4 linked regions of the Arabidopsis thaliana genome follow. The protein of the gene in region 1 interacts with the protein of each later gene in a pairwise test. Each region holds a gene or a part of one and is shown in the gene's direction. Other genes may lie near its edges. The genes, in order: MYB112, AT1G19040, NF-YB12 and TCP1.

What was found.
Region 2: the proteins of MYB112 (region 1) and AT1G19040 interact in a two-hybrid assay, tested with the Arabidopsis thaliana proteins (one large-scale study listed by BioGRID).
Region 3: the proteins of MYB112 (region 1) and NF-YB12 interact in a two-hybrid assay, tested with the Arabidopsis thaliana proteins (one large-scale study listed by BioGRID).
Region 4: the proteins of MYB112 (region 1) and TCP1 interact in a two-hybrid assay, tested with the Arabidopsis thaliana proteins (one large-scale study listed by BioGRID).

The regions. Positions count from the first base shown.
Region 1 is NC_003070.9:17,702,165-17,710,896, reverse strand, and holds MYB112 (myb domain protein 112), read left to right. Parts: upstream 1-4,436; 5' UTR 4,437-4,519; coding exon 4,520-4,712; intron 4,713-5,550; coding exon 5,551-5,680; intron 5,681-6,219; coding exon 6,220-6,628; 3' UTR 6,629-6,765; downstream 6,766-8,732.
Region 2 is NC_003070.9:6,571,824-6,579,817, forward strand, and holds AT1G19040 (NAC (No Apical Meristem) domain transcriptional regulator superfamily protein), read left to right. Parts: upstream 1-4,253; 5' UTR 4,254-5,071; coding exon 5,072-5,590; downstream 5,591-7,994. Other genes in the region: ARR7 (response regulator 7), read right to left, coding at 6,096-6,342, 6,440-6,510, 6,604-6,681, 6,901-6,977, 7,108-7,255.
Region 3 is NC_003076.8:2,631,742-2,640,094, forward strand, and holds NF-YB12 (nuclear factor Y, subunit B12), read left to right. Parts: upstream 1-4,090; 5' UTR 4,091-4,352; intron 4,353-4,452; 5' UTR 4,453-4,462; coding exon 4,463-4,517; intron 4,518-4,686; coding exon 4,687-4,776; intron 4,777-4,869; coding exon 4,870-4,964; intron 4,965-5,046; coding exon 5,047-5,115; intron 5,116-5,201; coding exon 5,202-5,384; 3' UTR 5,385-5,692; downstream 5,693-8,353. Other genes in the region: AT5G08180 (Ribosomal protein L7Ae/L30e/S12e/Gadd45 family protein), read right to left, coding at 102-263, 356-461, 1,323-1,392, 1,501-1,633; AT5G08200 (peptidoglycan-binding LysM domain-containing protein), read left to right, coding at 6,644-6,937, 7,277-7,407, 7,963-8,353.
Region 4 is NC_003070.9:25,165,727-25,173,276, reverse strand, and holds TCP1 (TCP family transcription factor), read left to right. Parts: upstream 1-3,969; coding exon 3,970-5,049; downstream 5,050-7,550.

The DNA.
Region 1 (8,732 bases):
ATTTGAGTTTGATGTTCTCATCACTTCCACCATCGTCACCCATATACAAACTCCACCTACCATGCTTCTTCATCGCCACATCATTCCAACACCTGCAAATTTAAAAAACTTTGGGTTTGGGTAGGAGTGTCAAAATGGGTAACCCAACTCAACTCAACTCATAATCAAATGAGTTTAGGGTTAAATGAGTTATGGGTTGACCCAACTCATTTTGTTAAATGGGTTGGATCAACCCATAACTCATTTAATTTAATGGGTGAAATTGTTAAATGGGTTAACCCAATTAAATAATAATTTAATTAATTATTATTATAAAACAATAATAAATAATTATCATTATTAATAATTATTAATTCATTATTATCAAACTTAAAATATTTACAGATTCTACCGTTTACGGATTTACGTTTTTGGCGGGAAAATTACGGATTACATTGTTGGCGGGAAAATCACGGGTTTACGTTTTTGGCGAAAAAATTACAAGTTTACGTTTTTGGTGGAAAAATCACGGGTTTACGTTTTTGGCGGGAAAATCACGGGTTTTCGTTTTTGGCGGGAAAATCACGGGTTTTCGTTTTTGGCGGGAAAATAACGGGTTTACGTTTTTGGCGGGAAAATCACGGATTTTCGTTTTTGGCGGGAAAATCACGGGTTTTCGTTTTTGGCGGCAAAATCACGGGTTTTCGTTTTTGGCGGGAAAATTACATGTTTTTCGTTTTTGGCAGGAAAATCACGGGTTTACGTTTTTGGCGGGAAAATCACGGGTATTCGTTTTTGGCGGGAAAATTACATGTTTTTCGTTTTTGGCGGGAAAATCACGGGCTTACGTTTTTGGCGGGAAAATCACGGGTTTTTGTTTTTGGTGGGAAAATCATGGGGTTTCGTTTTTGGCGTGAAAATCACGGGTTTACGTTTTTTTCAGAAAAATCACGGATTTACGTTTTTGGCGGGAAAATCACGGGTTTATGTTTGTTGGTGGAAAAATTACGAGTTTACTTTTTCTCAATTCATCGCTTGTATATTTAAGAAATTTGGAAAAATATTAATTTTATTAGATTGGTTTAGATGTGTTGGTTAAACTTAAATTAGCATTGGTTTAGAGATTTTAGTTGGTTTAATTCAATTTTACAAATTTTGATGGGTTAATTAGGTAAATCATTGAAACCATTAACCATTACAATCCAACTCATTTACTCATCAAACCAATTGACCCGATAACTCATTTGACCCATCAACTCATTTGAGTCAAAAATTTTCAACTCATTAAGGTTCATGGGTTGAGTTGAGTTGAGTTGACCCATGAATTTTGACCCATTTTGACACTCCTAGATTTGGGTGTTAAAAATTTATTTATTACATTACAAAACTGGATATCTATTTAAATATATATATATAAAGTGCTAATTAAAAGATATATATTAAATGATCCGACATTATTGCTCTAGATTAAATAGAAACAAAATAAAATGCTTTGACATTGTAATGCAGTTGATGTTTCTTTTTTTTTGGCAACATAATTATGTTGTTATTGATTTAACGACCATGGAAAAATAATCACCTTATTGTCAAAAAAGAAATTACCTTACTATAGTACATAATTAAACAAGTTTGACCAAAAATCAATATGTTGATATTTACTTTCAAGTGTAGATATGGTTAAATGTGGTCCATATAAATCTCACAACAATTCTCATGTAACAAGAAACATAATCTTCATATTAAAATCATAAAATAAATTTGGTTGTTATGTAAAAACAATTATTTATTGGTTCTGTTAGTAATGCTTTTACTATAAAATTTCAGAAAGTAAGGTTAGTAATAATTCTTCATTCTGTTTTATGTTCTTTAAGTCGACTCCTAAAACTAAAAAACTTAATCTTCTTGGTGTAACAAAGTTTTTGATCAACTATGCGTCACGAAATTTCTTAAACATAAGCATGCAATTCAAATCACTCGTTAAAAGCACGACTGATCCTCATTCATAAAAAATTATACCGAATATTCAGAACTTTCTATTATTGCACTTACCAATTTTGATGCCGCCCTCAAAGCTTTGGCAACAAAGGACAATGTCACCTTAAATGTTAAGAGTCTCAGCAGCGATAACCGATGAAGACACATGTAAAGACGATTTGTCAAGTGTTATATCTAGTCCACAATTTTAAAAGAAGATTTCTAATATGAAAATCTGTCGGCCATAGTTTTGGTTATTTCTAAAATATTACCTAAACATAATAAAATATTATAAATCGATATATTGTTTTATGGATTAAAGAAAAAAAAAACAAATTTCCTTTTCATTATTTTGTCAAAACTGTATAACATGGCAAAAGGTATGGCAAAGAAAACTATCAAAAACGATAAAACCATGGCAAATACTCCACTAATAACATATCAATCATAGGTAATGCAATTTTGTTTTCTCTTTTTTTTTTAACTACGTATAATGGTGTTAAAACTTTTTTTGTTTTTTTTTTTTGGAAAACTTTTGACCTAGTGTAAAGTTTGGCAAAAATGGTTTGATCTAAAACTAGTTTCATCGAGATTTTACATTTTGTAGAACTCTGATTCGGCTTTAATGAGTTTATGGTTAGAGACATGGGTTAGGTTAAGCTTTACTCGATTTAGAGTTTTGAGGTTCGCTGCATCTTGCTTTCATGCTATCAAAGCATTTTTATATTGTTACATTCTCTTGAGTCTTTTTTTTGTTTTGTAATCCTTTTCTATTTCTAATTAAAAAAACTAAAATTTATAGCTAAAACCATTAAAAAAAAGTAACCAAGAGTTCCGAAACTAAAGAAAACCCAAAAAAGTTAGTAACTTCAAAAAATTTAACTAGTTTCTTTCATCAATCTGTATTTATATATGTTCTAACTTTTTTTATCAAAACCAAACCGAATCTAAACCGTAAGTCAAAATAAATTAAACCAAAATTGCATCAAATTGAAATCATGACTAAAAATTACTCCTTTTGTCCCTTTTTATTGATTTTCTAGAAACAATCACAGATTAAGTAAACATATTGATTTAATTTTTGTGATTTAATTTTTTAATAATTCTAAACTAATGATATTCAATTATTTGTCTTGAAGTTTAAAATTCATCAATAATAACTAATAAATAGTGCATAGAAACCTAAAAAATCAATCTTTTTGAAACAATTTTGTTTCTCTAAAAATCAATTAATAAAGAATAGGGGGAGTATTATTTTTGAAGTATACTTTAAAAAACACCTTTATTTTGATAAATATTAACAGAGAATGTCATTACTTATATTCATGTATTCAAATAACTTTACTATTAATTTTTATTATCCGTATAACCAAATCAATTGATTGTTTTTAACATTAACTATAAAATTTGAAATATACATATAATGTTCCAAAATTAGTAATACATATTAAAAGATTGTGTTAAGAATTAAAATAATGATTCGCAATCATCTTTGTTTGATTTTGTTTTCTATTTGTTTTGAATCATCATATAAAGTTAATAATAAACTATTTTCTACCTATATTCTGATTCAAAATTTTAGAATTAGACATATATATTACTTAAATAATAAAAAAGTGTGTTCAACGTCTCAATTTCACATGGGCTAAAATGTTTAGAAAATGATTAAGAGTCATGTTATAAATAAATCTAAATCTAAATAAACAAGAAGTTTAACTTAACAAGTATCTAAATTTAAAAGTTTGTATATGGTTTAATTCTGTTTTTAATTGAACTGTTTAATTTTACTGGATATAGTAAATTTTAAGCTTTGAAAGTTTTGAAATATTATAATTGATATATTTAAACTCAGTATAAAGTTTAAAATAAAATGAATATATATAAAAGTCTAAAATAACGCAGTACATGTTATATTTTGAGACTGGGTATATGAAAAATGAGTTTAAATCGACATTAAAAAAATTAAAAGTATCATTAACCGACATTATAATACGGTGAAATTCTCATTTTATTATTTGATTAACATCACTAATATTAAATATGTAGAATTACACTAATTTAGTTAAGATTATGTGAAAACAAAATTGTCCCGTGTTATATTGAGGGTTAAATTCTAGTTTGGTTTAATAAAAGGAAACCTGAATCAAAACTAAACAAAATTATATACTACAGAAAAAAGGGTTTGTTGCATCAACTAAATTATATCGATAAATAAATGATGTTAATTTAAATTACTTCTTCGGTTACTTTTACTTACTTGATAGCTTATCCAACTCTTAACTATAGCATGTGCTTAAGGAGAAACTAAGAACTCTTATACTATTACTTAGAAATTATTATTTTGCGAAAATTCCACTAATATCTTCGGGTAATAATTTATCTATTAACATGCCGATTTCAAATGCTTGGTATTTATTTATAATATATACAAAACAAAACAAAAAAAAATCTATAAAACCCACCCTGAAAACTCGATCACTTTATGTCCATTCCGAGAACTCTCTCCCTCATTAATTAAAATCTTTCTCAGAGCAATCTTCTCACAAGTTTCTAAGAATCTCAAAGCATGAATATAAGTAGAACAGAATTCGCAAACTGTAAAACCCTTATAAATCATAAAGAAGAAGTCGAAGAAGTCGAGAAAAAGATGGAAATAGAAATAAGGAGAGGTCCATGGACTGTGGAAGAAGACATGAAGCTCGTCAGTTACATTTCTCTTCACGGTGAAGGAAGATGGAACTCCCTCTCTCGTTCTGCTGGTAACTTCTTAAGCCTTTTGCATATATATATACAGAATATGTGATCATGCATGATATATAATATGTAATGCGTAAATCGATCGATTCAGATCAATTGAAGTCATCATAACAAATCCTTATATGCCCATATCATATCTCTAGAGTGATTGTTAAACTATCATTGATTTGAATGGTTAAAGTTTGGTATTGAAGGATTCTTTATATGTCAAACAAGTAGTCCGTTTTTGTTTTTTAAACATTTAGACTGAAACTTTTTTTTTTCTTATTAGAAATTCGTTTTGGATTTTGTGGATTTTAATATGATCATGTGAAGTTTAGTTTAGAGTTTATTTATAACTAACTGAAATTAAATGGAGTAGATATAAAAACTCGTCCACATCTTATCAATATGTTATTCAATTTCTATCACATCATATGTGAGTGATATACATATATGAATGTGATTTTTCGTAACTATGAGAATACTTTTCTTATGGCTGTGACTTCTCCATGTCGGCATAATTTAAATTCCTCTGTAGAATTGGTAAAGTAAGAAAGAACAAGTTGACATATTCATAGTTCATTATTATCATTAAAAGTGTACTTTCGTATGAAACAGTTTGGTCGGTCCAAATTTATTTATTTTTTCCTTTGGAGTTCTTTTCATATTAGCCTTTTGAGTGTGGAACTCAAACACCTTTCCCAACCATCCAATTCCATACAGCCTCATGGAATTGTTATCTTTATTGATTTGGGAAATTGTACTAGTGTCCATATACTATTGACTAGTGTACATTCCAGTTAATTCATGTTTTTATACTAATTGTATTTATATTGAAATCATTTACTATTGAGACAGGACTGAATAGAACGGGGAAAAGTTGCAGATTGCGGTGGCTAAATTATCTCCGGCCGGATATCCGCCGTGGAGACATATCCCTTCAAGAACAATTTATCATCCTTGAACTCCATTCTCGTTGGGGAAATCGGTATGAAACCTTTATTTATATCGACATAGACATAGTCATATTGTCGATACATTACTTAAAATAGAAAAAGGGACACATATCGTTGAAGAGAGCAAATTTGGAACGTCTCTATGAAATAAATAACTCGTTATTCAATATTGTATTAGTAGATAATTGACAAAATCAATTTGATGCGTATTTGAAATTTCTTGGTTGAATTGTGGTTACTATATGAAACTTGTATCATAGTTGAAATTAAGGTACACATCAACGTCTTTTTTTATCAGAGTAACACTAAAAAAACTGATTAATCTAGTACTACAATAGAACTTATAAATAATTAAACCCTCCGATTCATTATAAATAATATTTTTAGCAAGAGTCGGTTTTAACAAAAACAATTAATATACGTACAAAAAGTATATTAGAAATTTAATATATTTTTTGTATGTATAAATGATTCTAATAAAAAACGGAATGAGAGTTTAATTACGATGTTCTATAAAATTAATCGTGTTTTTAATAATGGAGTTAGTTTTGATATTTTTTCTATTGTGAAGGTGGTCAAAGATTGCTCAACATTTACCGGGAAGAACAGATAACGAGATAAAGAATTATTGGAGAACACGTGTTCAAAAGCATGCAAAACTTCTAAAATGTGACGTGAACAGCAAGCAATTCAAAGACACCATCAAACATCTCTGGATGCCTCGTCTCATCGAGAGAATCGCCGCCACTCAAAGTGTCCAATTTACCTCTAACCACTACTCGCCTGAGAACTCCAGCGTCGCCACCGCCACGTCATCAACGTCGTCGTCTGAGGCTGTGAGATCGAGTTTCTACGGTGGTGATCAGGTGGAATTTGGAACGTTGGATCATATGACAAATGGTGGTTATTGGTTCAACGGCGGAGATACGTTTGAAACTTTGTGTAGTTTTGACGAGCTCAACAAGTGGCTCATACAGTAGGCATTTCATGGGTTTATTAATGAATGTAATGTATAATAAACATAAACTAATCATTCAAAACAAAATTAAAGGTTTTCCGGGTTTTTTTCCATTTTTTTATTGGTTTAATTTTATTGTGATGTATGATTTTACAAAACAAAAAAAAAACTGCTTAATTAATAATATCAAAAACATATATATTGTTACACAGAAGCATGATTTAGATAAGACTATAAGAGCAAAGAAGAGAAAAACAACAACATGAGTTTAGCAAAAAGTTTATGTGGTTCCTGGTTCATTTAATAACTCCCATACGATCACTTATAATCTACCATATATGATCATCAATTAAGTTTTATAATATCACCGCATTATTAAAAACATTATGAGTATTTGATAACATATCCCAAAGAAATTCATTACATACTTATTTAACTAATGGGTTGAAATAGAGATTGATGCATGATGTGTATATGAAGTGAACATCAAATAATTATTTTACTCTAAATAAATTATTAATTTGGATTTGGCCCTCTCATCTAAACTCAGAGTTGAAGTGTTCATGAAATCTTGCATGCTCGAGACAATGAGACATATTGCTTAGAGCACTTAAAGATGGTATCAACTCTTAAAAATATGCAAGTAAAATTTCGTCGTCTCAAATATCATTTTTTAAAAATAAAAAAAAAACTTTAGTTACATACATGTTGAATTCTCTAAATCGGTTATGTAGTTTGTGGTGCTATTATTGTTTTGGAAATTTCTAGTTTGTAGGGCCTATATTTTCTTGTTTGGCTAACCAATAATATCGTTAGTTTCATTTAAAATCACATATTAATTTAGTTTGTATAATCATTAATAGTTTAACTAAAAGAAAAGGACGTGAATGATGTCTCCAATTCCTAATCATGATTAAGATACTATTAGTTACTCCAACTCATGTAACACTTTATCGAGATTATATACGTCCAGAGGGGACGAACCCAAATAAGTTACTCTAGTTAAACTTTTAAATAAATTATTTCTCAGTGTTTTTTTCCACTACGTCGAGTAAGGAGGATCACAGATTCACCCGAACCCTATTTTATAATCAAAGTATTAATTGTTTTATTTGTTAGAATATATTAAATTAATCATCGAACACGTCTATAGACTAAATGGAAACAATCCAAAAATATCAAACAATGCATGGTCGATTTTTATTCTAAACTTATCTTTTCAATATTCTCTTTATAAGAAAAAAGCAGAACAATAGTAATTGAATTGGAGTGAAAAAAGGAATGAATTGGCATTACAATTTTGTAAATGGAATACTGGCCTTTCACACACGAATATCTTTGCTTTGTTGGATTATAGAATCATTGATTTTGGCTTTGATAACTATATTATATATTGACGTTGATTGTTGTATGTTGATTGTTGAGAACAGATTGTTAATTTTAGATAATAATTTAGATATCTACGAGAAAAGATAAGGACACGTGTGAACATTTAACACGTGCGCTTGTTGCTTTTAGAAGGCCGGGAAAGAGAGAAGTGGCAATGGCGGCTGTAATGGGAATCCGAGAGAAGGTGGCGCATGAGAAGCAACCCGAAAGTGGTCCCAGTTCGACACATGTACGCTCCATCTGTCACGTGTCTTTTCTTTTTTATTTCTTTAGCATCCTCTAGAAAATAGGAGTATCTTTTTTTATAGTGGCTCTCGTTTCTTCGATTATTGGTTACTAACATCGATTTATCATTTATCCGGTTTCTGTTTTGGTAATTGACTGAAGTGGTGGACTTTGTCGATCCTCAAACTAAATTCATTTATATCGACTACTAACTAATTTGGTTTGCTACATCTGTTGTATATCTTTTCTGTGTCATTTTTTTAAGTGAAATTTAAGATTTTTACATACAAATTAAGAAAACATATCAATTTTTTGTCTAGTATTTTTCTTTATGTAAAACATAGCTAAGTAAAATAAATTCAACCAATAAAAAAACAGAATGCAAAATATAATGAGTAAAAAAAAATTGCATAGAAATTTATAATTATCACTTAACATGAAACAGAAGGAATCTTAAAACATTGCTTACAATGGTACCAAATGAATAAAAATTTACATCTTCTTCTTTTTTA
Region 2 (7,994 bases), about 11 Mb from region 1:
AGTTTTGCTCTCTTAGATTTTTTGCCAAATCAATAATTCTTCCTACTTGACTCGATTTCATATAAATATTTGCTTCATTATTCAGCGGATTTTGTCAACCATGAATTCTAACTCGTAAGACAAATATTCGTGTTCTGCTTTTTTATGGTCAGGTTCAGCTTTAAACTCTCGGAAGGTGAAAGTTGCATGGTCTGAAGTATGTTCTCCAAAACAAGAAGGGGGTTTGGGATTACGCTCGATTGCAGAAGCAAATAAAGTCTGTGTTTTGAAGTTGATTTGGCGCATTCTCTCAGCTAGGCGGTCGCTTTGGGTGGAATTGGTTAAGAAATATCTTATTCGAAGAGGCTCCTTTTGGTTAGTGAAAGAGAATACAACTTGTGGTTCTTGGATATGGAAAAAAATTTTGAAATACAGAGACACAGCAAAGAGTTTCTATCGAGTGGAAGTTAGAAACGGCGAAGCTTCTTCTTTTGGGTTTGACAGATGGAGTGAGATGGGTTGTCTTTATGACAGATTGGGTGCAAGAGGGTGCATTGATTTGGGTAGCCCGATGACTGCTACTGTGGGTGAGGTAATGGCAGGGGCAAGAAGAAGAAAATATCGGGTAGCTATTTTGAATCAAGTCGAAAACGAAATAGTAAAACAGAAGCTCATAAGATCGAATGAGACCGATGTAGCATTATGGAATGGAAAGCATGACCACTATCGAAAAGAGTTTCACACCAAAGAGACGTGGCTGCAGATTCGCACCGCAAAGCTATTGATGGAGAACTACAACGGAATCTGGTTCAAGCACTCGACTCCGAAGTACTCACTCATCACATGGCTCGTTCAAAAAAATAGAGTAGCTACGGGTGACAAGCTGATTAAGTGGAACCCGCAAGTAACTCCAAACTGCATTCTCTGTCAACACACTTTGGAGACATGGGATCATTTGTTCTTTATGTGCCCTTACTCATTTCAGGTCTGGACGAAGCTCGCAAAGGGAATCCTCCACGCTAGCTTCACCGCAAACTGGACGGAAACTCTCAAACTGATACATGACAATAGGCTAAGCAAGACGAAGTGTTTCATTGTAGGGTACATATTTCAAAATGCAATCCACTCTCTTTGAAGAGAACGGAACAACCGACGACACAATGAAGAACCATCCCCATGCGAGAGACTGATAAGAGTGATCGATAAAATCATTCGGAATCGTTTGAGCACAATTCGGAGTAGCGGAGATATGAAACTTGCAGGAGGTTTGCAAGATTGGTTTGAATCAAGACAAGGAGAGAAGATTTTTTTGTTTTTGTTTTGAATGATGTCTTTTAAAACAAGTATGTATAAGTTGTAGAACAATTTTTTTTTTTTTAATATAATTTAATATTAAATTCAAAAAAAAAAAACTAATATTTTGTAACTCCCTTTACTCACTTATTATTTTATTTTTCTTACTATTTTGCAGTTCTACAATATTACTAATTGGAATATTATGTGAGATTTCATTGGCTATATACTTTTGTTATATAATTTGCACCGGGTTAATACGGTACTACTACTATTCGATCAATAAAGCAAGTAGTTTACCAATTATGATACTATATCTAGTTGATTTAGTATTCTTTGTTGATGTATAAATATTACGTTACCACTATTTATCGGGTCTCTCCACCTTAGTTTTCTCTCGCTCCGGTGATAGTGTGGTTGGATTCCGGCGAGCTTCTCTTGTGGAGGCAAATCACGAGATCTTTTTGGCTCTCTGGTTTGTTCTTTGCGGTTAGAAGTGTTGTGGTTTGTTATTGGTGGTCAACATCTCTCCTCCATTGGTGGGCTGTAGAGGGTGGCAGCTTCCTCAGCCATGGTTATGGTTTTCCCGTGACCATTTTTCTTCGTCCCTTCGCCTCGTTTTTGGTTGCTTTTAGGTAGATTTTTGTTGTTTTTGGTGTTGTTGGTGTCGGTTCTTTTTATGTATGCGAGAATATGGGTGCATTGATAAGGTTAATAGAGTGTTGAATTTATGGCAGCAAATAGGTCTAAGTGGCATCGCTATCTCATTGAATTAGTGAAAAAGTTCATGATTGCTTAAGTATTTTTGCGTTAATTCTCGGAGAAGCTATAGACTTTTATCACGAGGTTTTGAGGACAGCTTCAAATAGATATGCTCGTGGCAACTACGATGAGAATTCCGGTTATTCGGTCATGTGACAACCACGCAAATTTCTGAGTTTTGCAGGCTCAGAATTGGTATTTCACCTCGTAACTTATCCTTGAATGCCTAGAAGCAAATTGTAATGTTGTATTTATTATTTGGAGACTGCTTTAATCAGCTTTTTGTCAAAAGTCAAAAATGATATAAAAATTAATCTTTTGTCAAAAAAAAATTTTACACCAAGTCTCAGGTTCGATTTTGCAGATTATTGATGCATAACTTATCGTAATCTATATCGAGTACTATAATTAGGTCACCGTTGTGGTCTCAAATGAAGCAGAAAGAGTATGTCCATCATATATCATATATGCATAATCGTTTGTCGTGTATCCGAGTGTTGCGAGAAGAGCTGAATGGTAGAATCGTTATCTATAAAAGTTGTTCGTCATAATCTATATTGCAGGTTATCATCAAAATATTATTAGACGAGATATATCTAGATATGATGTTATAAATGACAGAAAAAGGAGAGAAAAAATCTAATTATTTTTAGGGTAATATTAGAAAGTAGAATTGAAAAGAATGTAGTAACTAACCATTGTTAATTTGTATGTGAGTAAATAACCTTATGACGGCATAAGAAAATACAAAAATATCCTTGCAAGTTGAACCAAAAGCAAGAGTATGAGAATAACATGATATTTATAAAAAAGGTGACATTTTATAATATGTTATGAGAATAAATAATGTGTTATATGAAAAACTAGCATGTTGACAGAGAAAGATTTCCAGTTATCACGTGTAATTCGAAAAAGTAACATGATACAAAAGAAAATAATATACAATTTAAAAAGAAAACATAACGATGAAGATTCCAAGAAAAAATCAAAATCGAACAAAATAAATAGCACGATATTTATCAAAAAAGTGACATTTTATAATGTGCTATGAGAATAAATAATTTGTTATATGAAAAAATAGCATGTTATTTGAGAGAGATTTTCAATTATAACGTGTAATTCGAGAAAGTAGCATGGTAAAAAAGAAAATAACATACAATGTAAAAAGAAAACATAACGACGGAGATTCCAAGAAAGAATCAAAATCGAACAAAATAAAATGAGAAATCTTCTGCAAATTGAAGGAGAGATGATCCGTCAATATAAATAACGTTTAGCAGCCTAGATTTATCGAAAAAGAGACTGATGGTTGTGATGGTGGAAGATGTGGTGGTTGTGGTGGTGGAAGAAAGAGAGATGAGTGGTGGTTTGTTCGGATTCATCAAAAGTTTTTCGCCATGGAATCATCTAAGTGTTTTGTGTGATTTTGTAAAATAGCGTGTAATACATATAAAATTCGATAATGGGTATAAAAATAATTACAAGTGATGAAAGAGAGTGTCCTCTGATACCATAGCTACTTTGTTAATTTTTTTACAATTCATAGTTATTTTGTGCATATTCTCTTATTTTTATCTATAAATGATTAAACCAGAAAACATGTCATAACATTTTCTTAATTTGATTTTCAGGAGAATTTATGAACTTGCCCATCTTTGTGGGATTTCCCAAAAAGAGGCTTTGAGTTAAAGGTCCTAGGAAAAATAATCAGTAATAGAACATGCTACTAAATATTTTAAAATGTAAAATGTGAAAAAATACTAATAGATTTCTTACCAAAAAACAGTGGTGCTCTTTTGTTTTTATTGATTTTTTTTTTTAGTGAATTACAGCCCAATAAAGGAATAGCCACTTCGATAGCTGGGATTACAAAATTTGCCGGAACGCGGAGACATTCCGGCGAAGCTAATCGGGGAAAAGGAAAATCTTTTAAATTATATATTTTTATTAAAAAATCATCTTCAGTAAAAAAACAATAAAAGGTTTCTATGGAGGAGACATTTTTGAAAAATAGTATTAAAAAGATGCATTTTTTTTTTAAAAAGTCTTCCTTCAATGTGTGTTTTCAAAATAAATCCAAATATGTATTACATAGTCTTTGAAATACCTAGGAGTCCGATGATGAGAAAATACATATCCTAGAAATATATATAATTTCGGAAATAAAAGTCTTAAATATGATATACAGTCCTTTTAATTTAACAATTGTGAAGATGTTTAAAAAATTATAATTTTGAATAAAATACAAATGATAGTATTAGTGAAGTCGGCGAAGGGGGATTTATCTTTAAACACATTGTAATTGTTATTGTTGCGTATCCGTTGGCAGCAAGAAACAGAAACACAGAGTGAGTCCAAGATCGCTTTAGAGGAACGCTTGAAGAAACCACTGAACATTGATATTAATTATCAAATATTCGAGTTTCTTCTTCCTGCATTCAAAATTCGTCACCAAGATTGCAATTTTCTTATCATCTTCGAGCGTTCATCTCTGTTAGATTATCACGGTTTGTTTGAAGTCTGTTCTCTCGTGGAAGAAATTGTCGATCTCTCTGTTATCCAACTCTTTGTCGCGTTTCTTTCAGAATTTCTATATCTGTTGGGTCTCTGTTCTCTACTAGAAGAAATCGTCGATCATTGATTCAGGTAAGTTCTCGTTCTTTGTTATCCAAGTTTCTGCTTCAAGCATTCATCACCAAGATTCCAATTCGTTATTGGGGTTCTTGCAGAAACTTCTTCGAACATTCATATCTGTTAAGTTTTCACGTCGTTGGGTCTCTCTGTTAATCTGCTAGAAGAAATCTTCGATCATTGATTCATGTAAGTTCTCGTTCTCTCATAATCAAGTTTCTTCTTCTTCAGCATATATTCGTCTCTGTTACACTTTCACACCGTTTCTACTGCTAGAAGAAATCATATTCATTACCATGATTCCAATTCTTTTACTGGGTTTTCTTTTAGAATAATAGATCACTGTTTGTTTTTAGAGATCGAGTTTGATGAATTTGGTTTCTCGTTTCTTGGATCAGAAGCAAAAATGTCAGAGGTGTTAACACGCGGGTTTCGATTTCGCCCAGCTGATGAAGAAGTGACAGACTACCTTATGCGGAAGACACAATCGCCGGAGTTCAGCTGCTTTATCAAAACCATAGACTTGTACGACAAGGATCCGTGGGTACTTGGGCATGTGAGAGATCCGTGTTACAATCACTATGAATGGTATTACTTTGTTAAGAAAAACCCCCTCGGGAATGAGTACTTAGATAAGCCTAGATTGAACGGGTTTGAACATCCACGCTTGAAATGGGATGTGTTGAAGCAGATACATGATGCTCTGAGTTCTGGTCAGAACGTCCCACCAAGTGTCTTTACTTACGGATTCCGATTTCATCCGACTGATCAAGAGCTACTCTCTTTGTACCTCACTCCAAAGGCCCATTCACCAGACTTCAGCTGCTTCATAAGAGAGAGAGAGAGCTATATGCCATGGAGCCATGGCTTCTTGAACATGTTAGATCTCCTTTTTACAAGGACAGTGAATGGTACTACTTTGTGAGAAAGTGTTCGTCTCGTCGTGAAAAGCTGAATTTGATGTTCTACCTCAGGGGCAAGAAGAAAACATGGAGGGTCAATGGTGTTGTTACACAAATCATAGATAATGACATAGAGAAAAATGTTCTGGGAACTAAAACAAGATATTCTTTCAATCTCGATGTGGGGCGTGTCCACTCAATGACCGGGTGGAAAGTAGAAGAATTCCAATTGTCTTCGGATCCTGTTTGGGCGGTTTGCAGACTCACTTACCTGAAAAACGATTCCTGCGTGATTGATGATAGACCAATACTTCCGGGAGAAGAGCATCCTAAGCTTGAGTTGCAAGCATTGAAGAATTTACATGAGGTGTAAGTCAGTGTGAACCTAACATTTGATTCTTTTCTCTTTTTTGTTTTGTTTTGTTTAAGCAACATCATGAGTAGTGTGATGACTCTCTCAAACATTGTCTTTCTTGAGGAATATTAACAGAATGGTTTTGCTAAGGTCTTGGCCTCTATACATATAATTCAAAGTAGAGAAAAAAGGTTTTCAGATTCTGATTTCATTCGTTTTGAACATGAAGAGTCCTTGATAGAAGTATCATCATGACTTGATGATGATGTATCACTGTCTTCTTGAAGCTTTCTCTTGTTAGAATGGCTTAAGATTTTGCATTCCTCAGCTTCATTCCTCATTATAAGTTGTTTGATTCGCTTTACATCTGCTAGCTTCACCGGTTTCAACAAGAATTCCTCTGCTCCTTCTTTGAGACATCTAAAAACAAGAAGAAGAAGTCGATAAGTTTAGATCACAGTGTAGACACAAATATGATCCCATCTGTATCACTACACATTACACAATCAGTACTTACTCTTGTATACGAGGTAAGATGTTCTCAGATGACATAATCACTACTGGTACTTCTCTGAATGCTGAAGATTCCTGCACATATCAATGGAGTTTTGTATAAGCAGCATTAAAAAAGCTTTGTTTAAGTCTTTCTCAGATTGGTAAATCCATTATTATTGTTATTACCTTAATCTTTTTAAGGAGATCATATCCTGAAAGTCCTGGCATTGAGTAATCCGTCACTATCAAATTCACCTTCAAATCCTGTTATGATGAAAATCACAAACAAAATCAAATCTTAATACCAAAACACATAAATCACTAACTAGACTAGTTCATTTCTAAATCTCATTTGATCATAAAGACAAGAAGAAGCAATAGCCAAAGCCAAAGTTGCAAAGGTTTCACTCCTTCGGTCTTTCCTAAATATACAAGAGTTCTTCTCAGTAGATAGCAAAAGAGGGAAGATTTATTCTTAATTACCTTAAGATTAGAAGCCCCTTTGCCTCCATCTAAGCCAAGATACTGCAAAGCCCTAGTTCCACTCTCTACAGTCGTCACTGAAATAACAAAAAAAAAAAGACACTTGTAACTAAAAAACAGAGGAGAGTTTGTTAATGAAGAAGAAAAACAGAGGAGAGTTAAAACCAACAAAAACAGAGCAGAAAAAGATTGGTTTTGAGTTTTTACCTTTACAAGAAGAGATTCTAAGCAACCTCTCGATGACTTTACGATCCACAATACTATCATCGACGGCAAGAACATGCAACTCCGGAGTAGTAACAGTCAAATCTCCACCGGCGGGAATCTCCATCCTCATGACCTCACCAACCGCCATTGTCAAACTCAGAATAAAAAAGAGAGCAGATTGGTTCCAAGAAGAGGAAAGCTTTGGATTGAAGACAAAGGAAATGAATGTGATAAAATGAAAGAAGAAGAAGTTAGGTTAGGTGACATAAATAAGAAGGGAGAGGTGGTGGGGTTTAATAAGTACTAGTATAGTAGATAGAGAGAGATTTGGAAGATCGGATCTTGCGGGGTAAGATCTTTGAAGAGGAAACAAAATCTTAAAAATGGGTCAAGTGTTGATGTTATGTGTTTGGGAAGTGTCAGAAAACACAAATAATCAAATGTGTCTTCAAAGGTCAAAATCTTTGGGCACCGAATCTTTTTTAAGATTTCAAAGATCTTTGTTTGGTCTGTTTCTTTCAATCCGACAGCGACTACTCCCTCGTGACCTGGAACTTTCCTTCTGCTTTTAGTAATTTTATTTTAGTTTTACCTCTCTCTCTCTTCTTTTTTCTTTTTCTTTGCCAAGTCGGCTACTACTTTGCATTTTACTTACATATCAATCAATGATCTAAAACCGGTGGTTATTGCTCAATTAATCTACTTCTATATTCATTTTAACTTCAACATTGTATTTTGTATTTTCCTATACACGTGATTCGTTTATACTCTACTAAATTTTATTTATGTGTAATGGTATGATGGTGATACTAATACAATTTAATCCTCTTGTTGTCTTTTTTTTTTTCTTTTTTAATTTGGGTAAGAAGTATTTTACAAGGTTATCT
Region 3 (8,353 bases), on another chromosome or scaffold:
TCAAAAACCTTAAATAGTCCAAAGTAATATCCGATGCCGTAAATATGATGATATTCATTAACCATCAAAAGCACAAGAGGAACACCCATTCTAGTTTCTAATCAGATTACAGAAGTTGCTAGCTCCTTAATATCGTCAGAGACTTGTTCGTAGTCTGTCTTTAACTTTGCAAGTTCTTCTGCAGTTAAATCTCCTTTCGCAGGTTTAAGCATTACCAAGACACAACATGTTGGTCGTTTCGTTGCCCCTGCTTGCGCAAGATCCTGAATTTCATAAAAAAAATATTGAATATCTTAGCACCACAAAACCGATTAATTGGTAAGATGATAGAAATCAAGAAAGAAAATTGGCTTACTTCTTTTGAAGGAACGTATACATAAGGAACACCAGCCTCCTCACACAAGATTGGAAGATGAGTAATAACATCAATAGGTGAAATGTTTCCAGCTATTACACATAATCTGCACAAACACAAACGTATCACATCAGATACAACATTCAAAACATAAAAGAATTTACTGTTTGCGTAGAAGAAGGAAAAAACAATTAGAAATGTAAAAATGTGGGTTCAAATCAGGCCCGCAAATCAAAGAACCAATAAGGAACTCAGAGCAGGCACAGACATTTGAAACCCATGATTCAGTTTCCGTGCACAGTACCATGCTACAATCATTCTGTTTAATCCAGAGCATCGGCTTAATTGTACACGGATATAACATCAACTATGCAAACAACTATCATAACATCAATGAAAACAAACATAATAAGTAACAAAAAGCAGAGAATGTAGATCTAAACCAGGCCGTCTCATCACGAAAAATCAGAGATGGCAGACATGTCGATCTATAGTTTAGTTTCCGTGCACAGTACCATGCTTCCTTCATTCTATTTTAATCCAGAGCATCGGCTTAATTGTAGACGGCTTTCAAAATCAGCTAAATAAAGAGCTTACACTAGTAGATAACATCATGAATGATCATAGAAGAACATGTTACCGTTTTCACAAACATAATCACAACACAAACAGAGAATGTGGATCTAAACCAGGCCGTCTAATCAGGGAAAAAATCAGAGATGGCAGACATGTCGATCCATAGTTCAGTTTCCGTGTACAGTACCATGCTACATTCATTACTTTAATCCAGAGCATCGGCTTATTTGTACACGGATTTCAAAACTAACTAAGCAATTTGCAGGACAATAACATCAACTAATCAATTAATAACACAAAACATCAACACATATACATCAGCTAAGCCATCTGCAACACAAAACAATCATAAATCACACTCAATAAAAAGACAAAGAATGAAAAAACTAACCCTTTCTGGCCTCGTCTTATGCTCTTAACCACTTCTTTAACTCCTCTCTTCAAACATTTCTTCCCAGCAGCTGACAAAAATTACAGAGCAATACACCAACATGAGCTACTAATCAATATATAATGAGAAATAAAGAAGATAGAGAGATGTGAAGCGAGCTTGGAACTGAGATTGGTACCTTTTTGAATGAGTTTGAAAGTTCTCTTCTGGAGTTTTTTGCCGGCGAGAGGTTTAGCGATAGGAGCAAGAGTAATAGCGTACTTCTTCTTCTCCTTTTGAATCGACTTCTCTGCTTCGGTATCGCTTCCCATATTTTTTAGCTAGCTAGCTCCAAGTAACAAAAATAATGGCGGAAGAGTGTGGCGGAAAAAACTAGGGTTTAGGCGGTTGTTATATGACCAGAAGTGTTAGGGTTTTTATAGAGAAGTGTATTATTGACCAGTAAAATATAGGAACCCTAATTTCATATGGGCTTGTTAATGAGGTAAACTGGTTGCATATAATGGCCCAATTATTTGGGCCTTCATACAGACTAAGATTTGCTACATTCATTGACTTTTGACTTTGAGATATTGTATGTTGTTTAGCTTGAAAATCAAAAAAATCAAATCCGACCAAAAAAAAAAAAAAAAATCAAATTTTCCTTAAGATAATGTTAGTTACTGTAGCTGGTGAATGTTATTTAACCACATTCTCGCAAATAAATTCCAACGATTAGTATGAGGTTTTTTATCGGATGCTCAGATGAAAAGACTTTTTTAAAAACTTCACCAAGTGATTTTGCTTTATCCATGACATCCATTATCTATATATATTACCAAAAAACAGTATGATTCTATTACCAAAACGTGTTTCTAACTTGCTTGAGGAAATGTACAAACAACTAACAAAAAGCCATAAGTGAAGATTGATGTTTGGAGCTTGAATGTCATTGTCGGGTCAATAAGTACGTAGGAATATCATGGGGATGGAGATCAGTGTTTGCGTTAGCAATTAACAATTTTCGGTTTCATCATATATAGTAGAAAATAATGAACTTAATCACAAAACAAAACAGTGGATAATCCAAAAAGCAGCTCAAGGCATGGCAGAGTTTACATATTTTTGGAGTGAATTGATTCTTGTTGTTAAAAACTCAACATCAAATCAGCTTCATGAACTTGAAACGCTTCTAAAGCATAGATATCAGAGTGAAGGATTAAGAACAAGTACCCACAGATGTCATCCTCGCTTCACCACTGATACATCGCCTACTACAATATATAGGAGACTGCAATTGATTTCACTGGTCCAGAGAAAGCAAATTTAGATGCCAACTTCTATCTCACCTACAAATGTATAAAGGGCATTGTTACAAGAACACAGGAAAATTTGTACCGATTTATACAATGGCAAATTTGTACCGATTTGTACCTACAAATGTACCGATTTATAAAGAGAAATCTTGCATGTTGGAAAAAAGCAAGAAAATTTTGAAGCTAGACTTTTTGATACATGAAACAAAACACAACACTTTTTCAGGAACATTGTTTGGTCAGACGAAGTAAGCAACCTACAAGAATCTGAACTTCTTTTTAATTATCCAACGCCAAATCTACTTGATAAACATTAAGATAAAGCTAAGGCGCTTATCAGTCAACTACACACTTCAATAACAAGCACTTCATTAACTGAAAAAACAAACAAACTAAAGAGGTCGAATTCTCACCAGAAACAACAGTCACCTCTTCATCTGCTCTCTAAGAACACAAAATCCTCAGCTTTCCCAGAAAAGTAATCGGACTTGACTCTGTTTTCCCTCACTTTTTTCTTCTTTCAAAAACCAATAAACAAAAAGATTCAAGTCAATAAGAAAGATACAAGAGGCAAACGCTGGATGCAGAGGTTTATCGATCTATTCATGCTTTTACATTTTTAATGTGTTCACAGGAAGAGATCGATGAACCGCTGCCTCCAGCGACTCTCACTCTTCTTCCAACTAAACTCCAAAATGTCAACGAAACATAAATTTTCCGAATCGGATCAAACGAAACACATCAGATCTGAAAATTCAACAGTCAAAATCTATACCACAAGTAGTAAATAGCTGGATCTTTATTGCCTTATGAAACCAAATGGACAAAAACATATACCCTAGATTACACACATGCATCTGCAGACAAACTGGGAGAAAGAGAATCAGTGTGATGATAGAGATATGTCAAATTAATGAATCCAACAAAGAAAGAAAAAGGAAACAGAGAGATGAAAGTTTTAACCAGGAATCTTCTTGACCAGATACCATTTGTGATTCTCTGATTTGCCTATTGGCCTACTACATCCCTCCTCTCTCTCTATCTTTTAATAACAAACTTTATAGATCTGGTTTTTTCTTCTAGAACTAAAATGTATTTGATTCATATTTATAACTAAAATGTATCTAAAAGTCTCATAACATATTTGTCCAAGAAAAAATTGTAGTAACATAGTTATTGAATTTGAATATCATAAGATTTAGGAAGACATTTTAAAAATCATATTTGAATAACATGTAACATGAATAACATACTAAAAAGAAGAATGACATGGAGTTGGAAATAAATCAAACTCTTACAAAATACTTCAAAATTCAATACATCCCCTAATTTCTCTGATTAACCAGTGGACTAAAAAGCGGATGATTTGTTCAAAACCAAAAAAAAAAAAAAAAACTTGGGCTGAAATGGGTCGTGTCTGCTGCAAGCAAGCCTACATATGTAATGTTCGGTAAAAAGCCCATTTCATTTGTCTTAAAAAATAACGAAATTAGATCTTACGCGCCGTCAATCACTTTAAGGCAAAAGTGAAAGTCACGCACTTACTTCTGGTCTTATGTTTTTTTGCCCTAATCGACTTCTGCGTAGAGAAACCGAAAAAGGAGAGAGAAAATCCGCCGATAAGATTCCGTACGACTGCACGTCTCCGATCTCGCCGTGAATCTGTCTCGAGAGTCTGTTAACTCACCGGATCTCCGTCGTTGATCTGCCTCTGTTTCGATCCGTGTTAAACTCGGTAAAGTCTATCTCTGTTTTCTCCTTTGTTCTTCATCTTATAACTTCGCGGTCTAGATCTTCCGGTAATCTGATTTTCCTTTTGAATTCTGATCATGTAGATTTAAAACTATGGATCCGATGGATATAGTTGGAAAATCAAAGGAAGATGCTTCGCTTCCGAAAGGTTCGGTCTCGTTTCCTTCTTTGGATCGATCTACTACTTAATTTTTGGTTCTGTCAATTTCTTGGTTAAATTGAAAGATTTTGTAAATCTAGCTCTAGCTATGGCTTCAGGTTACTCAATGCAATGACTCTGTATTTTTGTCTGATAAAAAATATGTTTGTTCTTTCAGCTACCATGACGAAAATTATAAAGGAGATGTTACCCGCAGATGTTCGTGTTGCTAGAGATGCTCAAGATCTATTGATTGAGTGTTGTGTAGGTAATGATTATTAGTCTTGAGATTTATGAATGCGAACATTGTTTCAAATTTGCTTATTTCATTACTTATGATGTTCAAATTTGTTTATTGTAGAGTTCATAAATCTTATATCGTCGGAGTCGAATGAAGTGTGTAACAAAGAGGATAAACGAACAATAGCCCCTGAGCACGTACTCAAAGCTTTACAGGTTTGGTGTTACATTCAGCTCAGTCTGATACATCTATGTGAAATATATACATGTTTTGTAATCTTGATTTTGTTAAACACAGGTTCTTGGCTTTGGGGAATACGTAGAAGAAGTTTATGCCGCGTATGAGCAACATAAATATGAAACCATGGTAACCATCATCTCCTAGCTCACAATAAGATCCAGACTTGAATGAAATTATAATCAGTATCATTTGTGTTATTGCCAATTCTGCAGCAGGATTCGCAGAGAAGTGTGAAGATGAATAGCGGAGCAGAGATGACGGAAGAAGAGGCGGCAGCGGAACAACAGAGGATGTTTGCAGAAGCTCGAGCAAGAATGAATGGAGGTGTTACAGTTCCTCAACCAGAGCAACTAGAAGAACCCCAACAACAACAACAAACAAGTCTACAAAGCTAATCAACAAAACCGCAAAGGAATCCCTTATTTTAACATTATCCTTTTGACTTCTTTTTCTTTCTAGCAATATCTCTGTAAAGTGCAAAATTCGTCGCGTCTTGGTGTTGATATGCTCTTTACATTTTTTAACTTAGGGTTGTGTTTTTTCCCCTTTCTTTGAATCTAAAATCACTTAGGTGATTCAGATGTAATTAGTAAGGTTTTTATTGAATCTTAGCAACTAGTGTCATTCGAATCCAAATCCCCTTAAATTATGTGTAACTTCATAATTCTGAAGTCTTGAATCCATTTCTAGTCTGATCACCAAATCTGGATTCCTTTGTACGGCTTCAACATTGAAGCATCTAAACCGGAGAAACTTACCCGGTTTCTTTTCCCAAACCATGGAATTAAACCAAGGGCTAGAGGAGAGGAGTTGGACCACTCTTGGATGTCTAATCAACTGTTTAATTTATTAGTTAAGAGTAATTTTGGTTAGGCAAAGAAGAATGGATTTAACTCTCTCGCCGACATTTTGCGGACTTCTTCTTTGTCAAACACACACACTTCGTTTTCTGCCTTTCAAAGTTTTTTATTTTATCCAGTAATAAGTAATCTAATAATTTTTATAAGTAGATAATTATTTCTACGTAATCAGAATCTCACAATATTTTCGACTTCATTTGTAAAAATGTATCGAGCACTTTTATTTTTTTAATATTATAATTATTCTTCTAGAAAAAAAATTACTTAAAACTTTTATAAAGATCTGATTTCACCCATTTCTGTCATCAATTAATTAAATAAATTTTTGCTGTTTCAGCTCGATTTAATTTGCAAAGCTTAGTCTTAATAATGCAATAATTAATTACAATACGAATTAGTTTTGCTTTGTTTCTCTTTTTAAGCGTCATTAAATAAAAATTATGGTATAACTCCAATTCCACCGCTGCGACGAGAGAGGAGCACAGAGATCTCTCGTTTCGTTTTTCCCGGAAAATCTGAGGAAATAAAATTAAGCAAAAGTTTCCATCGATCCTCTGAGAAAAAATTCGACTCTCTAGTCCACGAGTTTTTTTTTTGTTCACCTCTCTCTTTTTCGTTAATCTCTCTCAAACAACGCCTCTTCATCATTTCCTTGTAATTCACTTTCTTCTCCGTTTTTTTTTTTTTTGAATCTCTCTTCGTCCTTCGCCGTTTCGATTTCTTGTTTCCTCTACTTGATGATGAAATTTTGATCAGATCTAGTGTAGAATAGTTAGGATTTACCCAGAGAGATTATGTTTATGGATCGAGAGAGACGGAGTTCTGGTCGTAATGGGACTCCTGAATATAGCAATGGCAAATTCCGAGATGATAATGGTTTTGGATTCTTAGATCGATTGGAAAATTGCCGTGAGAAGAGTCCTCCTAGATCGAAGATCCTTCGGATCCCGTCTCCGACCTCGTCTCCTCCACCTTCTAGCTCTTCTCCGCCATTTCATGGTTCCAATTCGCCTGACCGTGGATATATCGAACACCGCATCTCCAAGTTTGATACTCTCGCCGGCGTTGCCATCAAATACGGTGTTGAGGTATAATTCTGCTAACGATTTAGGTTTGGTTTGTGTAGTGATGGCTATTTCCAGCTCCAGAATATTTGACTTTGGTTAAGGTTGTTGAGTAATATTGACATACAACGGTATTTTTATTAGAGGCAAAAGGTAGAATTAATGGTACTGGTAAAAAGCATTAGGATTTTTTTTTGTTTGTGTGGGAATTGACGCATGATGAAGAACAACACATGAGGAAAAAGTTATTTGTCAGAGAGAGCTGGATTATTTCTAAATTGTATAAGCTTCGCTTTTGATGCTGGATTATTCCTAATCGTTGTTCTTATTTTTTTCTTTGTGTTGTGAAACTTTCTACTTCAGGTTGCAGATGTGAAAAAGATGAATAACCTTGTTACTGATCTTCAAATGTTTGCTCTCAAGTCTCTTCAGATTCCGTTACCTGGGAGACATCCTCCTTCTCCATGTTTATCTAATGGCTCCTTAAACCATGGGTACTAATAAAGCTTATTACTTTTAAATGATTTATTATTTGCTATCATTTAAGTTCCAGTGATGGATTCTTATAGCTGATTGTTGTTGATGCTTTGTTGCATTTTGTGTTCCACCATCAGCAGAGCAGTTGTTGATGCTTTGTTGCATTAGTTTGCATTTTGTTGCATTTTGTGTTCCACCATCAGCAGAGCAGTTGTTGATGCTTTGTTGCATTAGTTTGCATTTTGTTGCATTTTGTGTTCCACCATCAGCAGAGCAGTTTACACCATCAGCAGAGCATTTTGTTTCTTATTTCTTAATTTATTCAAAGAGCCCTATACCAGCTTTTCTTGATTGGTAAAATGGTTTTGGTACTTTGCTGTAAAAGTCTCAGCGAAGGTAGAACTAGGATCCTATTTTCTTTATATCACCTGCAGAACTAGAAATTCTATAGGAAACATCTCAATTTCGAGACAAACAACTAGTGCCTTTAGTTGTGTTGGACTGAAACTGCATATTATCATTATGGAGTAATCCTCTTTTCATGGCTCTAATACATGGAATCTTATTTGCAGAGAGGGATGTTCATGCCACGAACCGGAATCACCAAACCATAGCGAACAGGAAGTGTTTGACTCATTTCAGTCTCTGAGATTGAAATCTTCGGAAAAGAAAGTTTCTCCAGCCATGTACTCACTGCAAGGTTATTACGGGCTAAAACCAGCAGACAGAACAGTCTCTGATGGAGGATGCTTCGAGATGGGAAATTACAAGACGGAAACTTCTCATCATATCTTCAACAACGGTGATAACGGATATCTCAGACCTTTCCCATCCACAAATACTCCCTTAAATCACCACAGGAAATCTAGAAGCTTGGTCAATGCGCTTATCGAAGAGGTTAACCAATCACCTGATAATAATACTCAAGAACCAACATCTGATAAGTTTATGAGAAGACGCCAA
Region 4 (7,550 bases), 7.5 Mb from region 1:
TAATGCTCTTCCTCAATATTTTCATACTTACATGAAACATTAAATTGTTAGCTAGTTTGATAGCACTTTAATTAACTATCTTTGCGAACAAATTTTCAAGATCTACATGGACTTCGAAGTCTCCTCAGGCAAGCATGAACTTCAAAACGTGATTGTATACATTATGCTTTTGTCATTGTATAAAAACTAATAATATATGTTTTCATGTCAGATTCGAATAATCAAAACTAAAATATTCAGTATCCATACATATATTATACATGCACCTCTAGATTCTTACCGCTTTTACTCATATTCATGATCATGGACATTTAAAAAATCGAGACAGATCTAAAATCGGTGTGGATCATCCAAATAACTTGTCCACTCCTACTTCACATCGTGGAATTAGATCGCAAAATATTCGTTAAATGGGTCGTTCACAGTGATTACACATTTTACTACTCAAAGCTTTTCAGTAGCCCATCATTATATCCACACAGCCCATCTTCTATTGTTTCATTTCCCCCTTTTAAGCCATTTTTAAATTTGAAACTGATTATTATATTTGAATTACAGAAATAACTGTACATTTTTACGTAGAGGTAAAACTTTTCAAAGTTTATAAAATATGAACTCTAAATAATATCAAATAACGAATACGTTTACAAACAAAATTTATCAAAGGTTTGAGACTTTATAGTTTAGTACCATTTATATGTTCATTAAACAAAATTTTGGAACTACCTTATTATGGTGTTTGAACTGGATCATGATCTAAGTATAAGCTGAATTATACTAGGAGTAGGCCTAAATATATTTAAAATAAACAATTGCTTTTTGAGTTTTGGACTGTCAATATAAGGGTCAGCCCATTTGACATATGCCTAATTCCAGAATTGCTTATTTTCCTTGGTTAACAGAGAGCACTCTCTCTTTCTTAACGTTCCAGGTTACCTCAATAATCAAAATTTGTATTCAATATTTTTAAGCAATCTCTTGACCAAATACTGTAGTATTTGAGGCTCAGGATTATTATACCAAATATATCATTGCTACATGTTCGCTAACCATCTGTAAGAGATTCTACTTAGTTGACAACCGACATAAATGGACTTTCTCTTACTAGTTTGGATACTCGATGATGAAAATGAACGATGTTCTAGCATCCTAGCGAGATGTAGATTTTGGGGATATAAATTTGTTACCAATATTAGAAGACTTAAGATGATTGCTTTGAAAATGAAAATATAAAATATAAATATGTAAACTAAAGTGGTAGCCCATGATCTATAGATTTTGGGTGGAATGCATCCATGTCTCTAAAAAGCACATATTAAACGAAGAATTTAAGAGATTTTAGATACATCTATTTAATACATAAACAAACCCACATATTCTAACATGAAATTTGAAGAGACTTTAGAATCAAATAACTCAAAAATGACCATTTCCTGTTTAATAAAAAAAAAAAAAAAACCTCTCTCCATTGAAGACTCTCTTGTCTCCAGTCTCCACCACTGACCAAAACCAAAAGCTCATTCTCCAAAACTTCCATCTACAACAAGTGTTCGAAATTTATACCATTGTTGAGTGAAATAATTGGGCGACTTCACTATCTTCCTTCCTTTTCTTTATGTACTCTGTAAACCCTAATATCCTAAATACATGTTCCTCAATTCCTCAATTTGCTGTTCGCCACTTCGTATTTTTCAAATCTATCTTCGATTTACTTCTTATTAAAGAAAAAAAAGCTCAGCGACTTCTGCTGGAGTTTCATTTTTTAGAGACTTACGTTGATAGATGGCTTGTTTTAATTTACCAGTTTCCCTCACACATTTTCTAAGCTTCCCGGATTTGATAGTCGAACATATTCCCTTCCTTTTAGCTTCAATCCTAGTTCAGATATTTTCCTCAAAATCGTAAAATAACCACTAAAAATATTTCAAATTCAAGTACCTCATATTGATGGATAAAAAATATCCAAGAAAAACAAAGTACAGGTAGAAGGCAAAATAAAAAAATATGGGTAAGAAGGGCCCAAAAAAACATTTCTGAGAAAAAAAGTTCATAAAATTTATTTTCCTATACTCATAACATATAAAAAAATTTATAAAGGTTTCTATATAAAAAAATAACTGTACAATTTACATTGCTAGGGACTTATTTTAAAAATTAGCCCTAAGGCCTATAAAATGTTTAAACCGACACGAATTATAGGTGTTCAACTCGTATCACCGTGTACTTTTAGACTCTGCCCAATTCACCATGAACTATATCATAAACCTCATAATTCCACCTAAACTATTAAATTCATCACAATTAGACAACTTCAATTAATTGAGTCAATTGCGATTTAAAATCCTTAAACGGTTATGCGATTATACTAACATGAGTTTAATAGATTGACCGATTTAAAAGCCTATTTAAATACTAGGGTATAAATATCTGTAAAAAATAGCTCTCCTGGGGAAAATTTTTTTTTCCAATAAACTCAAAGTACCCAAAACAGAAATCACTCGTCCCTTAAACTTACTAGGGTAGAAACTAGTGTAGATTTGTATAAATTAACAATACTAACTAAAATCTAAACTATAAACTTTAAATTATAAACTCCAAACTCTAAAAACTAAACACTAAATCCAAGAACTAAAATCTAAAACCCCAAATTCTACTCAACCCTAAATTGTTAAGCTTGAAACCGTTATAATTATATAGTTTCCTTTATTTTGTCATGATTCAACTTATTTTTTTTTTCATTTCAAATATCTTTTAAAACCGTCGTATTTATATTGTTACACATTTCAAATTACTAAAATGATAAAATACTATTTTTATGTGATAACAAAAAAAAAAACTATATTTTCTATGGTTTTGTATATAAACAGTTGGGTGCATGAATGCATATATTGCATTTGCGCCCACTGTAAATTAGAACAACCCTTGACTACTAGCTAGAGACGTCAAAAGAAAATTGAAAACGACAAATCTTTTCACAATCTTCAATCGTACGGGAAACCAACTCAGGTCACATTAAAGCCTCTTTTCTCTTTTGACAAAAACCCTAAATAAAGGGATAATGTTTATGTTACGTTGTTATATGTACACTACACATTTATTCCATATCTATAGTTTCGTTAACCGGTCAAAACTAATTCACCCACCAAAAAAAATCTAAATTTCCATTTCCATGGCATGTAGGAAAAACTAGAAACCACTGGACAAAAGAATAGAAGTTTTTTTTTATATCCAAAACGAAAGCAAAGCAGATCTTGTCTGAGATCCGACAAAAAATAAAAACAGTGAAATACTATACATTCAAGAACATCGATCGCCTTCAATACTGACTCTTAAAAGCGTGATGTTTATCATTGAAATGGAAACAAATCCTTCATATGTCGTCTTCTATTGTTGAATTATTATTTTTGGACTATATGGGCCATGTTAATTAGATGTTGCTTTTGTGGAGCACTCATACGAAAGGTACGTTACCTACTTGTATATGTATACGTAGTAAAAGTAAAATGTTAAGAAGATACTAAAAATAGTTGAGTTTGAGGTTAATCCCCAATATATAAGTTCATAACCAGATATTAGATCTGGAATTGAAAACCCTAGAAAAAAGTTGTAAACCCTAGTGAAAAATTAACCTGTAACTGAGTGAGAGAGGAGAAGAACAGATCTGCTTTTTTGCGAGCAGATCTTCAATTACATACACAAAATCATGTCTTCATCACTGTACACTTAACCATTTTCTTGTTACACATCTCTTACACCATTAATATCTCTATAGTTTTTTTCTTTTCTTTCTTTTTTTGCTGGTGTGAGAAATTGTACGCTTACTATCTCTCTCTCTCTCTGCCAGATTCTCTCTTTTTGATGATGTGAAAGTTGTGCTTTTGTTTCTTAAGAAAAAGGCATATTTTTAATACTTGATTCTTGGTTCTTGATTCTTGATTCTTGGTTTTTTTTAGCTTCTTAAGTTCGGTGATGTCGTCTTCCACCAATGACTACAACGATGGTAATAACAATGGAGTGTACCCTCTCTCTCTTTACCTTTCTTCACTCTCTGGCCATCAAGACATCATTCATAATCCCTACAACCATCAGTTAAAAGCATCTCCGGGCCATATGGTATCAGCAGTTCCTGAATCTCTGATCGATTACATGGCGTTTAAGTCAAATAATGTTGTGAATCAACAAGGCTTTGAGTTTCCTGAGGTGTCAAAGGAAATCAAGAAGGTGGTGAAGAAGGACCGACATAGCAAGATTCAAACGGCACAAGGGATTAGAGACAGGAGGGTTAGGCTTTCTATTGGGATTGCTCGCCAATTCTTTGATCTTCAGGATATGTTGGGGTTTGATAAAGCTAGTAAAACGTTAGACTGGCTGCTCAAGAAGTCAAGAAAAGCCATCAAAGAGGTCGTACAAGCAAAAAACCTCAACAATGATGATGAAGATTTTGGAAACATTGGAGGCGATGTAGAACAAGAAGAGGAGAAGGAGGAGGATGACAATGGCGATAAGAGCTTCGTGTATGGTTTGAGCCCCGGGTACGGTGAAGAAGAAGTGGTATGTGAGGCCACGAAGGCAGGGATAAGAAAGAAGAAGAGTGAGTTGAGAAACATCTCATCAAAGGGGCTAGGAGCCAAAGCTAGAGGAAAAGCAAAGGAGCGAACAAAAGAGATGATGGCCTATGATAATCCAGAGACTGCCTCTGATATTACACAATCTGAAATCATGGACCCATTCAAGAGGTCTATAGTCTTCAATGAAGGAGAAGATATGACACACCTTTTCTACAAGGAACCAATCGAGGAGTTTGATAATCAAGAATCTATCTTAACCAATATGACTCTACCAACGAAGATGGGTCAAAGTTACAATCAAAATAATGGGATACTTATGTTGGTAGATCAGAGTTCTAGCAGCAACTATAATACATTTCTGCCTCAAAATTTGGATTATAGTTATGATCAAAACCCTTTTCATGACCAAACCTTATATGTAGTCACCGACAAAAATTTCCCCAAAGGTAAAGTTTGGATTCAAGACTCTTTTGTAAACTAAATTATTGTTCATATATATGTTTGCATTCTATGATATGTTTTCTTTCTCTTGATTGTTTCTGGCAGGTTTCCTATAAATCTCGACAGTTTTGAAGGACTATGCATGATCAAGTTTAAACATGTAAGCCAATATAGTCCCTTATTCCTCTGAATGTATACAAAATCTATAGTTATGTATATCTGTTCCTTTTTAACGTATCTTTATTGATCTTCTGTGCCTTGATCAAAATTGTCATTTTAAGATTCAGTTTGTGTAATATTTTAGCTACAACTTTTAAGTGGTATTATTGTAACCTTTTGAACTATATATTTTGAAGATGAATAAGAACATGTTTATATATTTGGTCATCCCATTACAATCCAAGATTCATACTTCGATTAGGCACTACACATAAGAGCTAGTCTTTAAGATTAAGCCATTTTTGTTTAAGTTAGAGCTCCATATATTAGAATTTGTTCTTCAAACCCTAAATTCAATTAAGACCCACAAAACCAAATATGTATGATGATGAATATTGAGGGTCGTAGTGAAACTGAAGTAGTTACATTGCAAATTGAAGGTGACACTGAGAATTAGTGTGTGGAATGTGGAGGCGTGCCTGCCGTGGTGTCTATTTGATTCATAGTTTGTGATTTGGCCATCCAGGTATGAGGAGAATATATCCTACTTTCATATTATTGTCTATATAGAAGATATATACACATTTATATATTGGTGTATTTATTCTCTTACTCGGAGGATGTTTTGCAATGATGCTTTTTGAAGCAAATATGAGTTGTTTGTTTATGGGGTTTGAAGTTTGGCGTTTTGGAAACAATGATTGTTAACTTAACATATTCGAGTAAGATTTGTTTAAGGCTTTTAGGTTAAACTCTGACTAGAGATGTGAAAAAAAAAAATCCAAAAGAAAACTCAATGTTTTGAAATGATAACATTCACTTAGTAGTAAATAAGTACATGGATCAATTCAGTCACTACCAATTTGTTTGAATTATTATAAATCCTCAAAACTGAATATGCTATCATAGTTCAAACTCCAAACACACGTTGACATGAACCTAAATCAATATTGTTGTTCCTAGCTGACCCCAAATAGATCCATATATACAAGAGATTAGCCAATCAATTCTGCTTATGAAACTTGATATTCACCAATTTGAGATTCTAGAATTTAGTCGTTTTAATTTAATTTACAATTTAGTCGGAAATCCTATCAAAACGTAAAACTTTTTAAGAAACTGAATGTTAGGAGTTAATGAAAACGTGTAAAAGAATGATACAAGATTTGACTGATTCTATTTGTTAATAATTTTTAAATTTACAGTATATGCCTAAATTTATTTGGTTTAACTAACTAATTTTAGGATAATTAGTCAAATTAGATGATCATATATGGTTAAAGCTAGTCTAATTTAATTAGACTAAGTACGTAATAAGGTTGTTCTTAAACCGAAAAAAAAAAAAAAGTAAGAAGGTTGAACATTCACGTTGGAGCAGTCAAGATAAAGATGAACAATAAGAATTTCTTTTTAACCTTGGAAGGAATCTAATCTCAATATATAGGGACTTAAGATTCCACTAAGTTTGAACCACACACATCGAAGATTGTAAGATTCTGTTTTGAAGAATGAGAAGTTGGCATTACAAGTATAGTCGGTACAAGTTTTAGAAAGCTTATCCAAATGTAGTTTCTTTTTGAAGCTGTTTGTGCATGTGACAATTTTTTCGCTGTACATTCCTAATCTCATAAAATGAGAAAATAATCAAAGAAATAATATATTATGAAAATAAAAATTTGTTTTAACATGTTTGAAAAATATAACAAAACTATTTTAAATCATACTTTAGTTGAAAATAATTGATTGTTAAATTACGAAAAATTTTATAAACATGATTGAAAAACTCATAAAATGATAGTTTTTATCAACAAACTGGTGGGATATGGTGTGAATCAGAAAGTGTCACTCGCTTGTCAAAAATGTGTATCATGAATGTATACGAAGCACATATATATGTAAGGCAACACTTCATCATGTGAAATAAAAGCTCTCAAAATACCACCATTCGGAAATTAATCATGTAGACACACTTACAAATGTATTTTGAATAAGCTCACTGCAACATATTAAGCTTACTTTTTTTTTTTTCGCCCAACATATTAAGCTTACTAAAAGTTACTGAATGTTGAAGAACTGTCACTGCCAGAAGAAAGCATACTAAAGTTTGCAATGCTCGATAGGTGATTGAGAAATATAGTCTGATATGAAGATGTAATTTAACTTTTGCTTCTTATTATTATTTTTTCATTTCATTTTTGTTGTTTATTCTTTCTTTTTCATCTCACTGACCTTAATATCTAGACTTGCCTACACTTGCTTAGGTCGCTGGATTAGTATCTACACTTGTCTAGGTCGTTGGATTAGTTAAGTCCCTATGAATAATCTACAATATATAATTCGTAAATGCCTGGAAACTGATTTACCTTCGAGATTTTGTTGCAA